Linked DNA regions of Caenorhabditis elegans. The protein of the gene in region 1 interacts with the protein of each later gene in a pairwise test. Each region holds a gene or a part of one and is shown on either strand. Other genes may lie near its edges.

Region 1 (6,696 bases):
CTCCAATTATCAATGCAACAGAAATATGAATACTTCAATAAACATAATTGTATATTTGAACGAAGAATGTAATAATTTTTTTTTTTTTAGTTTTTCCATTATGCTTGCACGGTGTTAAAAAATTTAAAAAATCTACATATAAATTTTCCATATTCAGGTTAACATTCCGATTTTCCAAAAAAAAACGCATTCGGTTTCTTTTTTTTGCAAACCATTCAAAAAAACATTATCAAAATGGATTTAGTGGAAAAAGTTGAAACAGAAATGTTGCTGATGAGTATGTTCAGTTTCTTTTTTTAACAATTGAATTGCTATTTTTAAGGCAGTTTTGAGCAAACTTTTCAATGTTTTAAATTTAAATAAGTTTAAGTTTCAAAAAATAAACCAGCTTTTGTAAATCTAAGAATACACGGCAAGCATTTTCAGTACCCAATTCAATGTTGTCCAAGAATTTCAAATAACAAAATAGGATTCATGCAGTACTGATTATTGAAATAATTAAAAAGGTTGAACGTGCTTTATTCAGATATTTACATGGTAACAAAGTATACATCATTTGAATACAAAAAAAATGAGTTGAAACATTTGGAATTTGGACCTGAGAAGTGCGGCAGTGCAAAAATAATTTCTACCATTAGTGCCCAGAAATTACCAAACACCAGTTAAAAAACTAATTTGCACTGCCCCCACTAAAAAAATATTCGACTGTGAGCTACTCACAAGAAACCGCTAGGCGCACATCGAAACCGAGAAAGAAGGAAAAAAAATGGCTAAGGCTGAGAATGAACAATGAACCGTTAATGGAGTTATGGTAAGTTTTGAACTTATAAATGGAATAAATAAAAATAACGTTTTCCAAGAAACAACGAATGAGAAATGTGAGAAAAATCAGACAGGAAAAGTGAGCGGAGGCGAGAGAGATTTGGAGCTAGTTGAATATAGTTTAGATCAAGTTTCACGGGCGATTTCCTTCAAATACTCGTTCACTTCAGCCTGGTCTGGAGCATCTGGCACCTCCCAAGATGATTCGATGGGGTTTCTGATCTTTGTCTTGCAAATCGGGCATGAGAAATCGTGGCGGTATTCCATTTCGTTGGCGATGCATCGGATGCAAAAGGCGTGGAGGCACGGGAGAAGCAACTGAAAAATAAATAAAATATCTTTATTTTTATTTTTCAATACTCCGTATCTACTATTTACAGTTTTTTATTCAAATATGTTCTTTATGAGAACTGGAACTTTGGAAATATTCCTTGAGCTCAAATGAGTTTACCGATATGAATCCACAGATAAAAATTTGCGGAAAAATGCCTTAAAATTATCCAAAGTAAACAAGTTTGGGATTTCATAATTGTTCATTTCGAAATCTTGATCGATATTTTCTCAAACTCATGTTAATGAACCAGTAGAAGAAAAGTTTTTAAATATGAGGAGCACTACCAAGGTTTTAGATTCCAAAATACAAAATGTACGGACCCACTAATGAATTAATTTTGAATACGAAATTGAAAACTTACATCGTTGATGTTTTCCATACAAATCACGCAGTTACCCTCGACATCCGATCTGCAAAAAAAAGTTGAAGTGACCTGTGAAAAATTTTAAGGTTAAAATTTACTAACGAAACAGTCTTAATTAAAATACATTTTCTTTCCAAATATAACGATATCAGTGTATACTTTTTTCTTCGTGTAACTTACGTTTGAGTCAAAATGAATTGACTAGTCGACATGGGATCCACGCTTCTTTTACGGCTTTCCTTGTTGGTGATCATCAGCTTATGTAGATCATATGTGGAGAGAAACTCGCGAAACGTCAGCTCCTTGTAGTTTAACACTTGCTTCGACATTTGATTAACCTGAAAATTTATTTTTTCAATGTTCGATTTGTACAATGAAACTACTCACCTTGCAGCAGAGAATTTTAATCTCTGACTTCCAGTTTTCATATCCTTCACGCTGATAGTCAATGTTCCGGAGAGCGAAGGCCAAGTACTCCTCGTTTTCGACAAGAAGACTGCGATAACTGAACGAATAAAATGTTAGTTAAGGTCGTGACGCCATATTTCGTAATGTTTGGGAAACTTCCGAGGAATCCGATCTTTGGTGCAGGGTTCATAAGCAAACACTTCAAAAAATGTTGCGAAAAGATTGTTTCACACTTTATGTCCAAATTATTTTTCGAACACCGCTAAGGAAAGCCTTTTTATTTATAAATTTTTAATTGTTGCTGTATAAAAAAAATAGTGGTATTTTCAAAAAGATTAAGGAAATTAAAACATTTGGAAATTATATTTGATTTTTCAAATTATGAATTATAAATATTGCAACCAAATTTGACTCTAACAAAAAAACATACTTTCGGTTCATTTCCTTAATATCGGCCAAAAATTCATCCCATGTGCATGACTGAAATCGTGGATGTCGTTTTGATTGATTAGTACCCATCCTGAAAAATATTTTATAATTTAATCTATTAATTTACAAGAAAAACGTATGTTTATGCGGAATTAGTCATGCAAAACACATGACATCAGGAAAATGGTTCAAATAAACTGCGAGCAGGGTGGAAGAGCGGAGTAACGTAGTGCGAGAAATTGAGTGAAACGAGAGACACAGAGAAACATAAGAAAACGTATCGCATGAGTCCCTTGCACTCGTGAACAGTGAGCAAATTAATTGTATGCAAAAAAGGCAAGCACACAAAGTGCAGGAAATATTCTGGAAATTAAACGTATAAAGACATTTTTCTAACAAAACAAAAAGTTTAGTATTTTATGAATTATCTAACAATGTAAGTCATTCTATAAACGTTGTCATCATACATCATACCACTTTTGAACTATCTGTTTTATCCAGCTTGTAAAAATCAGGCACCTCTATTTGAAATTTTTTCGTACACAAAAAACTGTTTTTAATAAATGATTACATAGGCACATTACGCGTCTTATCATATGGTTGTTAACCTGTTCAGCAGATAGAAAAATTGATAACAACGGAAATGAGTCATGTAAAATCGATCCGGCCTAACATAATTAGCCGAGCTCGGAAAGTTCCGCAAATCTACTTTTTTGAAATTTGCCGAGCCCGGCAAACGGCAAATTTGCAGCACACCTACTCAGATAAAGATGAAGCCGATTAGGATACATCAAGCAGATCAGTGCAGAAAAAACTGATTGTCCCAACCGACTTGAGTATCTTCGGAAGTCAATTATAGTCTAGTTAACTTAGTTAACTTAGTTAATTGTCTAGTCAACTGCAATCCACAGTCGAAAAAATGCTCACATAAAAAAGACATAAAAAATTATCACATTTTCCTAGTTTGTTAAGCACGGCAAATATTAAAAAACGATATTTGCCGAATTTTCCGAGCTCTGAACTGTAGAACTGAACTGTACATTATCACCCATTACTACCCTTCGTTTTGTTTCATAGGATCCAACAAATTTGGGCGTCAAGAAAAGAGAACGAATTGCAAAAAAACTGCAGCGCCAATATTTTATGGTTCTCATCTTTGCGATATTTTTATGTGCACCGCCGCCCTCATCTATTGCCGCGTTGGAAGGAAAATATACGATATTCAATGCTTACTTCAAAATTTATTCTGGATATTTTTGAAAATCTCGCAGACGTGTTCAGTCAGCATTCGTGGTTGAGGATATCGAACACAAAAAAAGATATCATCGATCACGTGTGATGACAGATTTTCTGCGACTAACAGGTTTGCTTAATAAAAGTTACTAAAACGCTGAAACTTCTGGAAATCATTTTAATACTGTTTTCTTAAGATATCTTTGCAAAACTGGAAAAATACCAGAAGATAATCAAAGTCAGTCAACCCTCTCTGTACATTTCTGTCACATTCCTTCTGTTTTTCTATTTGGTGCGTAAAAAACGAATATTGTTTTAAAAAACAATATTTATCCCTAAAAATTTCCAACAAGAATTTCCACATATTTCTCTTGATATTCAATTTTTCAAAATTTTCGGCTAGCTGGGCTCTAATTTCCGTTAGTCACAAAATCTCATTTCCCGTTTTGCGAAGCCCTTCAAGCTTCAATAATACACCATTTCAGCCTACGAGAATCATAAAAATTTTATGATTAACTACGACGTAACCAAGGGTATCTGAGCTTTTGGGGCAATCTTTTGAGATTTCAGTTTTGTTTCCAAAATGTAATAAAACATTTTCCCAGTTTAAGTTTTTTGTTAAAATTTTAATTTTTTCCTGTGTCGCACAGCAACAAGGCTTATAATTATAAGAAAAATTTCTAAGAATACGTTTTCAAAAAACTCATTTTTTCTTGATTTTCTTTTTCAAATATTCATTCTCAAATTTTCCATATCCACCCGGAAATTTATTTAAGTGCGTCAAACACAAATTCAAATTCTTCCTTTGTTTTGTAAATCAAAAAGTCAGATACGTCACAACGCATTCTGTTCAAAAAATGTAGTCTGTGAGCAGGTGACCAGAACCTTCCATCTCTCAATAATCTCTTCTTTATCCTTTCATTAGACTGCGCAACGCCCTCCGGCTCATGACCACATATCGACTCGCCTCATGGGCTCATTATCTGCCATTTCCTTTCTCTCTGCTCTCTCTTTTGCTTTACCTCTCCGCTATCTCTCTACGGTCGTCATTTGAATATTACCTCGAGACAGCAGACGGCCGTCTGCTCAGACTGGTGTAAACCAAGAGTGCCGTAATTCCGGAGCATCGTTGTATCTGCGTGGAGTTGAGGGGTTTTAAACGCTTTTGTTATTTTCTTTTTTATATCGGTGCTGACGAGAGTTTTTATTTTTGATTAGTTGATTTAATTTTTTTCCAGAGAAACACAGTTATTTACAGAAATGTCGGAAGAAGCTGAAGCTGGACCATCGCCAAAAGTTAATGGGGAAAATGGAAACGGAACAAATACGGTAAGAGCTTTTTTTTTTGAAAAATATAACAGAACAACTTTCACTAAAATTTTTCACCGGGAAAAAATTAAAAAAAATCATCTTTACAGTTCGACGACTTGTACGTGGATGACAAAATGCGTCGAATGATTGTCGACCTTCAGCGTCAATGGCTCACGGATTATCACGATAGCCGCGAGAAATCTCTCGTTGCTCTAACTGAAAAAGTAAGTCAACCACCCCAAAGTTTTAATTTTAGAAATCTATATTTTAGCTCCATCAAGAATTCATGGAAGATCAGGAGCGAGTCCGTCGCGATTTGTTGGTTCAGTTCAAGATAGAGCTCGACCAGACAAAGGAAGAGCTGGAGAAGAAGCACGCGGAGAATCTCAAGGAGGAGATTGAAAAGCTGTCGGAAAAACACCAAAGGGAACTTGCTGTCGCTAAGAAGAAGCAGTGGTGCTGGCAATGCAACAGCGAGGTGAGATTTTATGATTTTATGATTTTTTGATTTAGACGGGTTCTCTATTTAAAAGATGTAGAGTGTTGCCAGATATTTCAAAATCTCTAACATCAGTCTGAGTCGTGATACCAATGTTCATAGTACTATATCTTATTTGTAAGCTAATTTTCTTTCGAGCATGAAAATAATTCTTTTGCGCTCCAGTGCTGTATTAATAACGCTAGACCTGAAACATCATGATCATATTTCAGGCAATCTATCATTGCTGCTGGAACACTGCTTATTGCAGCGTTGAATGCCAACAAGGACACTGGCAGATTCATCGCAAGTTCTGCCGCAGAAAGAAGAGCAACGGTGGAGCCCCAGGACCAGTTCAGCCAATTGCTGAGCCTACTCAAAGTCAACAATGATTGAAACTTAAATAATATGCTATCTGCGAGCCGGAGGCCCTTTGAAAAGTAACAAAGCTTGTGTCAGGTTTTCGAAGTTTATCTCATCACACATCCCGTTTTCTGTGTTACTACTGTATATCTTCTCTCCAATAACATGCAATATTTTTCTATAATCCCATGACAACAACAATTTTAAGATCTTCTATATAAATCCTGTTAATTAGGAATTTGGATCAATTTCGGAGAGATCTCAAACTTGTGTTAATTCCTTCGAGAAATAATCAAGAAATTATGTGAATAAAGTTTATTTTGATACACATGTCCTTTTGGATACTGTAAATGTGAAAGATGACAAAATGAAAATGTTCCTAGACACTTATGGGGATCAAACGTGTTTTCACATCCGATGTGTATTGTATAAATGTAAACAATTAACGAAGATATGAATTGACATAATGAATTGAGAGTTATTCAACCTCTGCAATTAAAATGAATATAAACTTCTCTGAAAAACTATTTCAGAAAGCACCCAAAAATTCAAATTAGAAGGAGTGCTATGAAATTTACACGGATTGTACAACAAATATACTTTGTTTGAGTTTCAACAACGAAACGAATAGAAATTGCGATTTGTGAATAAATGAACATCGTTTGAGTATGTTTAACAACTTGCGATGCGATAATAATAGTAAATCTTGCTCAATAATGTGTAAGTGCTTTACTATTCATCAGACCGATTCCTAAATAAGGTTTGTCGATTTTTCAGAATTTTTCCGTAAAGTAAATCTAAATTAATTTTGAATTACCGATAATTAGGCTTTTTTCAGAATTTTGTCGCATTATTTTCGCTTTTCAACTCTTCTTGACGGAAAAAAATCGCAATTATTTTTACACTCGCCCTCTTGATTCGAAGCGTTTTTTGTTTGAAAAATTCTTTCTTTTC
Region 2 (4,519 bases), on another chromosome or scaffold:
GTAATTTAATGTGAATTTTCGATTATTTTAATGTTTTCTAAAAAATTTTTGTTGTTTTTATTAATACCTTCAACGTAATATGGGATAGACAAGCAGTATGCCATTTAAAAATATTTTTTGATTGGAAGAGCTTTCCATATCTCTTGGCGCCATTTCGAACGCGGCAAAATACAGATTGTGAAACAAGGGCGGTCCATCATTCTTACTCATTTTCTTCTAATTTCTTCAGTTTCTTTTCAGTTCGTTTGCGATGTTCCTTATTTTTCTTCCTGCTCCAACTTCTGTAGTTCGTTCTGTTGTACTTGTTTCCAATTTTTTAAAGGTTTTCCTCGCTGAATTCGTATTTTAAAAATAACTTCAACTCCACATGTGAGTAGTGATTAGGGAATTTAGTGCTCGATCAATAATTTGAACAACATTTTTGCAAAACTTATTTCTCAAAATTAAAGTCACTTCCGAAGTATGATTTGGCCTATTTTATACCTCTTTGTTTTCGTTGTCCCACGTGACTCATATAGCACGAAATAAGAAAACACACTCAAGTTCATTCGTCCTAAAATTTTATAAATTCCGCGTTCAAATTTCAGTCATCTAGTAACCATCAGAAAAGTGCAAGTTCACTCACGTCCACACTGAATTGAATCAGTGGAATCACATGATCAACTGCTTCTCTCACTCTCTCGCTTTGTCATTAGATATCTCTACCTCTCTGCGTTTCGTGTCTAAGTGCTTATAGTTTCACTTCTCTCCGCTTTCAATCCCCATTGCGATGCGACTGCAGCATTGCAGTGAGTGTGATGGTCGTCTCAAGACCCATGGCGCTGCGTATCGATCGTTGCCTCGTACCCTCTTACGTTTCCTGTGTTATTTCTGTCTCTGTCGTTCTGACACTTCAGCGCTCACCCCGTCGCTCATTTTCACTCACAGACAGCACACATTCTCACTCACTCGCAGCCTATGGCCATTTCTTCCTTCCTCACCATCTCGTGAGGCGACAAGTCGCGTGTCTTTAGTCGATTTCAGAGTGATTATCTGGAAATCATTTGTTTCAATCAGAAAATAATACGTACATGCCGAATAGTTTTTTAAAAAACTAACCAGACAATTTGTGATACGTCTTGAATTTTAATTTTTGCCCAGTCTCGATTCATTGTGAAGAAAATTTTACAAGATTTGAATCGCTTGCTTTTTGTGCGTAATATTCCAGTCCATTTCTTTTAAGCGTTAAAATTTTTTTCGAGTGTCACTGGCTTGTAGCCGTAAAAATGTGTCATATTTGTCATCATTTCTCATCGTTAGTTATTTTATTAGGAAATTTCCGAAATTTATGTTATTTTGGTTTTCAAATTTATATCTGTTCTATTTTTCCTCATTTTTCGCTTTCTAGAATGTTCCACTAGTTTCGAAATGTGACGTAACAGTTCACCACGAAGGGCAAACTGAGTACTTTGTACCGCCTCTAAATATCGATTTTTCGCCGCGCCGCGCCGTACTCTTTATGTTATTTCATGCGAAAATCCTCACTTTCAATTTTTCCCTATAGCAGAAGCTCAATTTCACCGTATTTATCGAAATTTATTTTCAGAGTACTCCGGGTGTAGCCGGGTCAATCAGCAAATCAGAACACCAACATGGCTCTCAAAAGAATCCAGAAGGTAAGGTTTCAACACTTAACAACAATAAAATTATTATGTACGTTTCAGGAACTCCAAGATCTCGGCCGTGATCCACCCGCACAATGCTCCGCTGGACCAGTTGGTGATGATTTGTTCCATTGGCAAGCTACGATTATGGGCCCACCAGAGTCTCCCTATCAGGGAGGTGTCTTCTTCCTCACTATCCACTTCCCAACAGACTATCCATTCAAACCACCAAAGGTATTGATCGAAATTGGAAAAAAATAAATTTAATTTGTTTTCTTCAGGTTGCCTTCACCACTCGAATTTATCATCCGAACATCAATTCAAACGGAAGCATCTGCCTTGACATTCTCCGTTCGCAGTGGTCGCCGGCTCTGACCATTTCGAAAGGTTGATATTATCATTATTGTTCGCGTTCTAACTTTTAATTTTCAGTTCTGCTTTCGATCTGCTCGCTGCTCTGTGATCCAAATCCGGATGATCCACTTGTGCCAGAGATTGCACGCATCTACAAGACGGATCGTGAAAGGTGAATTTAGATTTTCTTTTAACTACTAAAAATAATCGATTTTCAGGTACAATCAATTGGCGAGAGAATGGACGCAAAAGTACGCTATGTGAGGAGGCTAACACCATTCATACAAGAACGCAGCCAAACCAATCAATAAACCATGTGTTTCTTTTCCCTCTCTGTGTCTCCCATTCATCTCCAAACCCTTTCCATCTTATTCAATCCACACCAAACCCCGGCGATTCCTCTTTTGTACTATAAATTGTGTTCTCTTTTTATCGATTTTGTTCTCCCCCACACATTATTCTCCTTCAAAAAATACCCACTTTCATATTATTTTCTGTCGTCAGCAAAGCGATGTAAAATATATATGGTCTTTTATATTTCTTCCTTATAATTCAAAAGTAAATCGAACGGTGTAGATTGATCCCCTCAATTCTCTCTCATCCCCTTTAAACTATTTTGTCTCCAAATCTCCCTCCTCCCTTCCTCTGATTTTTCTCGAGAAATTGAAAAAGGATTTCTTCCAAACCACCACACATTCGTTCTTCGTTTATTTCATCTGGCGGTCTGAGAATCCTGAATAAATTACTGAAGAGCGTCTATTATTCTCGACATTGTTTTTCTTTCAGAATCGATGGCCACGTTTGTTCCCTTTGTTACTTGTCTTGATACAGGTTTTTGGAACGAAGTGAACAAGAAAAAGCTCAATGATTGGAAACTCGATGAGACGCCAAAGTGTATCTCAAGTCAATTATCGCTTCGTAAGAATTGCCTATATCCGTATCAGATGATTTTTAATTTAAATTACAGATCAAACCGAAGGTTTTAAATGTCATCTATCCTTAAGTTACGACAGTTTGAGCAGTTTGGAGAGCACAACTGGATTGTCAATGTCCGGTACCCTTCTTCTGTACAATACAATTGAAAGTTTCAAGATGGTTGACAAAAGTGATTTGATAAGAAGTGAAGCAGAAAAGGTAGAATAACTTTCGTATAGTTAATCAAAATCGTCAGCAATTTCAGATCTGGGAATCTATCACAACTCGAAAATGGCTCCAAAATCCTCGTCTTCTGTCGCAATTCTTCATCATCGCTTTTGCTGATTTGAAAAAATTCAAATATTATTATTGGACATGTGTTCCTGCTTTGGTATATCCTAGTGAAATAAAACAAGAGGTTGAAAAATCTTTAAAAGTCTTTGAAGTTCGTAAATTCTTCGGTTTCAGATCACACCACTATCATCTCTCGGAGCCGATCACAAGATCCTGTTCGACTTTTATAGGAAAAACAATTTTCCGATCTTCCTATACTCCAAACAATCTTCAAAAATGCTCGAACTGTCAGAATTGGAAAACAACACAAATCCTGACGAAATATGTGTTGTTGTCGCTGATCCTTCTCCTGTTGCGTATTCTGCAGGATGGATGGTTCGCAACGTTCTTGCCGCAGTGGCACATCTTCATCCTACGTGGAAGCATTGTCATATCATCAGTCTTCGTTCAGCTGACAGTATCGGAATAAAATACACATGGACCTTGCCGAGTGCTGAATGCTCAGCAGATGGAGCTCAGAATGCTGTTCCAAAAGCTGTGGGATGGGAAAGAAATGCAAATGATAAGTTGCAGCCGATTTCAGTAGACTTAAGTAAAGAGTTCGATCCAAAAATATTAATGGAAAGATCTGTGGATCTTAATTTATCATTAATCAAATGGAGATTGCACCCAGATATTCAATTGGAAAGATACTCACAGCTGAAGGTATATATTTAAATTTTAAATTTTATATTTTGTCATATTCCAGGTTCTCATTCTTGGTGCTGGAACGCTTGGATGTAACATTGCCCGTTGTCTTATCGGATGGGGAGTTCGTCACATTTCGTTTCTTGATAATTCAACTGTCAGCTACAATAACCCCGTTCGCCAGAGTCTCTCAGAATTTGAAGATGCACGCCTGGGTCGTGGAAAAGCCGAAACAGCACAAGCTGCTATCCAACGCATTTTCCCATCGATTCAAGCAACTGCTCATCGTCTCACTGTTCCAATGCCTGGACATTCTATCGATGAAAAAGATGTACCAGAGCTGGAAAAAGATATTGCAAAATTGGAGCAACTTGTGAAAGATCATGATGTTGTTTTCCTAGCATTAGATTCAAGGGAAGCTCGCTGGCTTCCAACAGTTTTGGCTAGTAGACATAAGAAGATTGCAATTAGTGTCGCGATTGGATTCGATACCTACGTCATCATTCGGCATGGAATTGGTTCTAGAAGCGAAAGTGTTTCAGATGTTTCATCATCAGATTCCGTACCATACTCTCAGCTTTCTTGCTATTTCTGCAGTGATGTAACTGCTCCAGGAAATTCTACTT

What was found.
Region 2: the proteins of F54B11.5 (region 1) and let-70 interact in a two-hybrid assay, tested with the Caenorhabditis elegans proteins (one study listed by BioGRID).

What each region holds. Positions count from the first base shown.
Region 1 is NC_003284.9:13,593,621-13,600,316, forward strand, and holds F54B11.5 (RING-type domain-containing protein), read right to left. Parts: upstream 2,449-6,696; 5' UTR 2,448-2,448; coding exon 2,359-2,447; intron 2,026-2,358; coding exon 1,908-2,025; intron 1,859-1,907; coding exon 1,701-1,858; intron 1,567-1,700; coding exon 1,518-1,566; intron 1,141-1,517; coding exon 949-1,140; 3' UTR 501-948; downstream 1-500. Other genes in the region: bra-1 (MYND-type domain-containing protein), read left to right, coding at 4,851-4,919, 5,009-5,125, 5,173-5,379, 5,613-5,771.
Region 2 is NC_003282.8:11,079,320-11,083,838, reverse strand, and holds let-70 (Ubiquitin-conjugating enzyme E2 2), read left to right. Parts: upstream 1-1,585; 5' UTR 1,586-1,631; coding exon 1,632-1,655; intron 1,656-1,703; coding exon 1,704-1,877; intron 1,878-1,924; coding exon 1,925-2,030; intron 2,031-2,075; coding exon 2,076-2,169; intron 2,170-2,215; coding exon 2,216-2,261; 3' UTR 2,262-2,753; downstream 2,754-4,519. Other genes in the region: klc-1 (Kinesin light chain), read right to left, coding at 68-104; atg-7 (Ubiquitin-like modifier-activating enzyme ATG7), read left to right, coding at 2,789-2,915, 2,965-3,131, 3,178-3,330, 3,381-3,911, 3,955-4,519. UniProt on the Caenorhabditis elegans protein: Catalyzes the covalent attachment of ubiquitin to other proteins. Mediates the selective degradation of short-lived and abnormal proteins. Plays a role in the DNA damage response.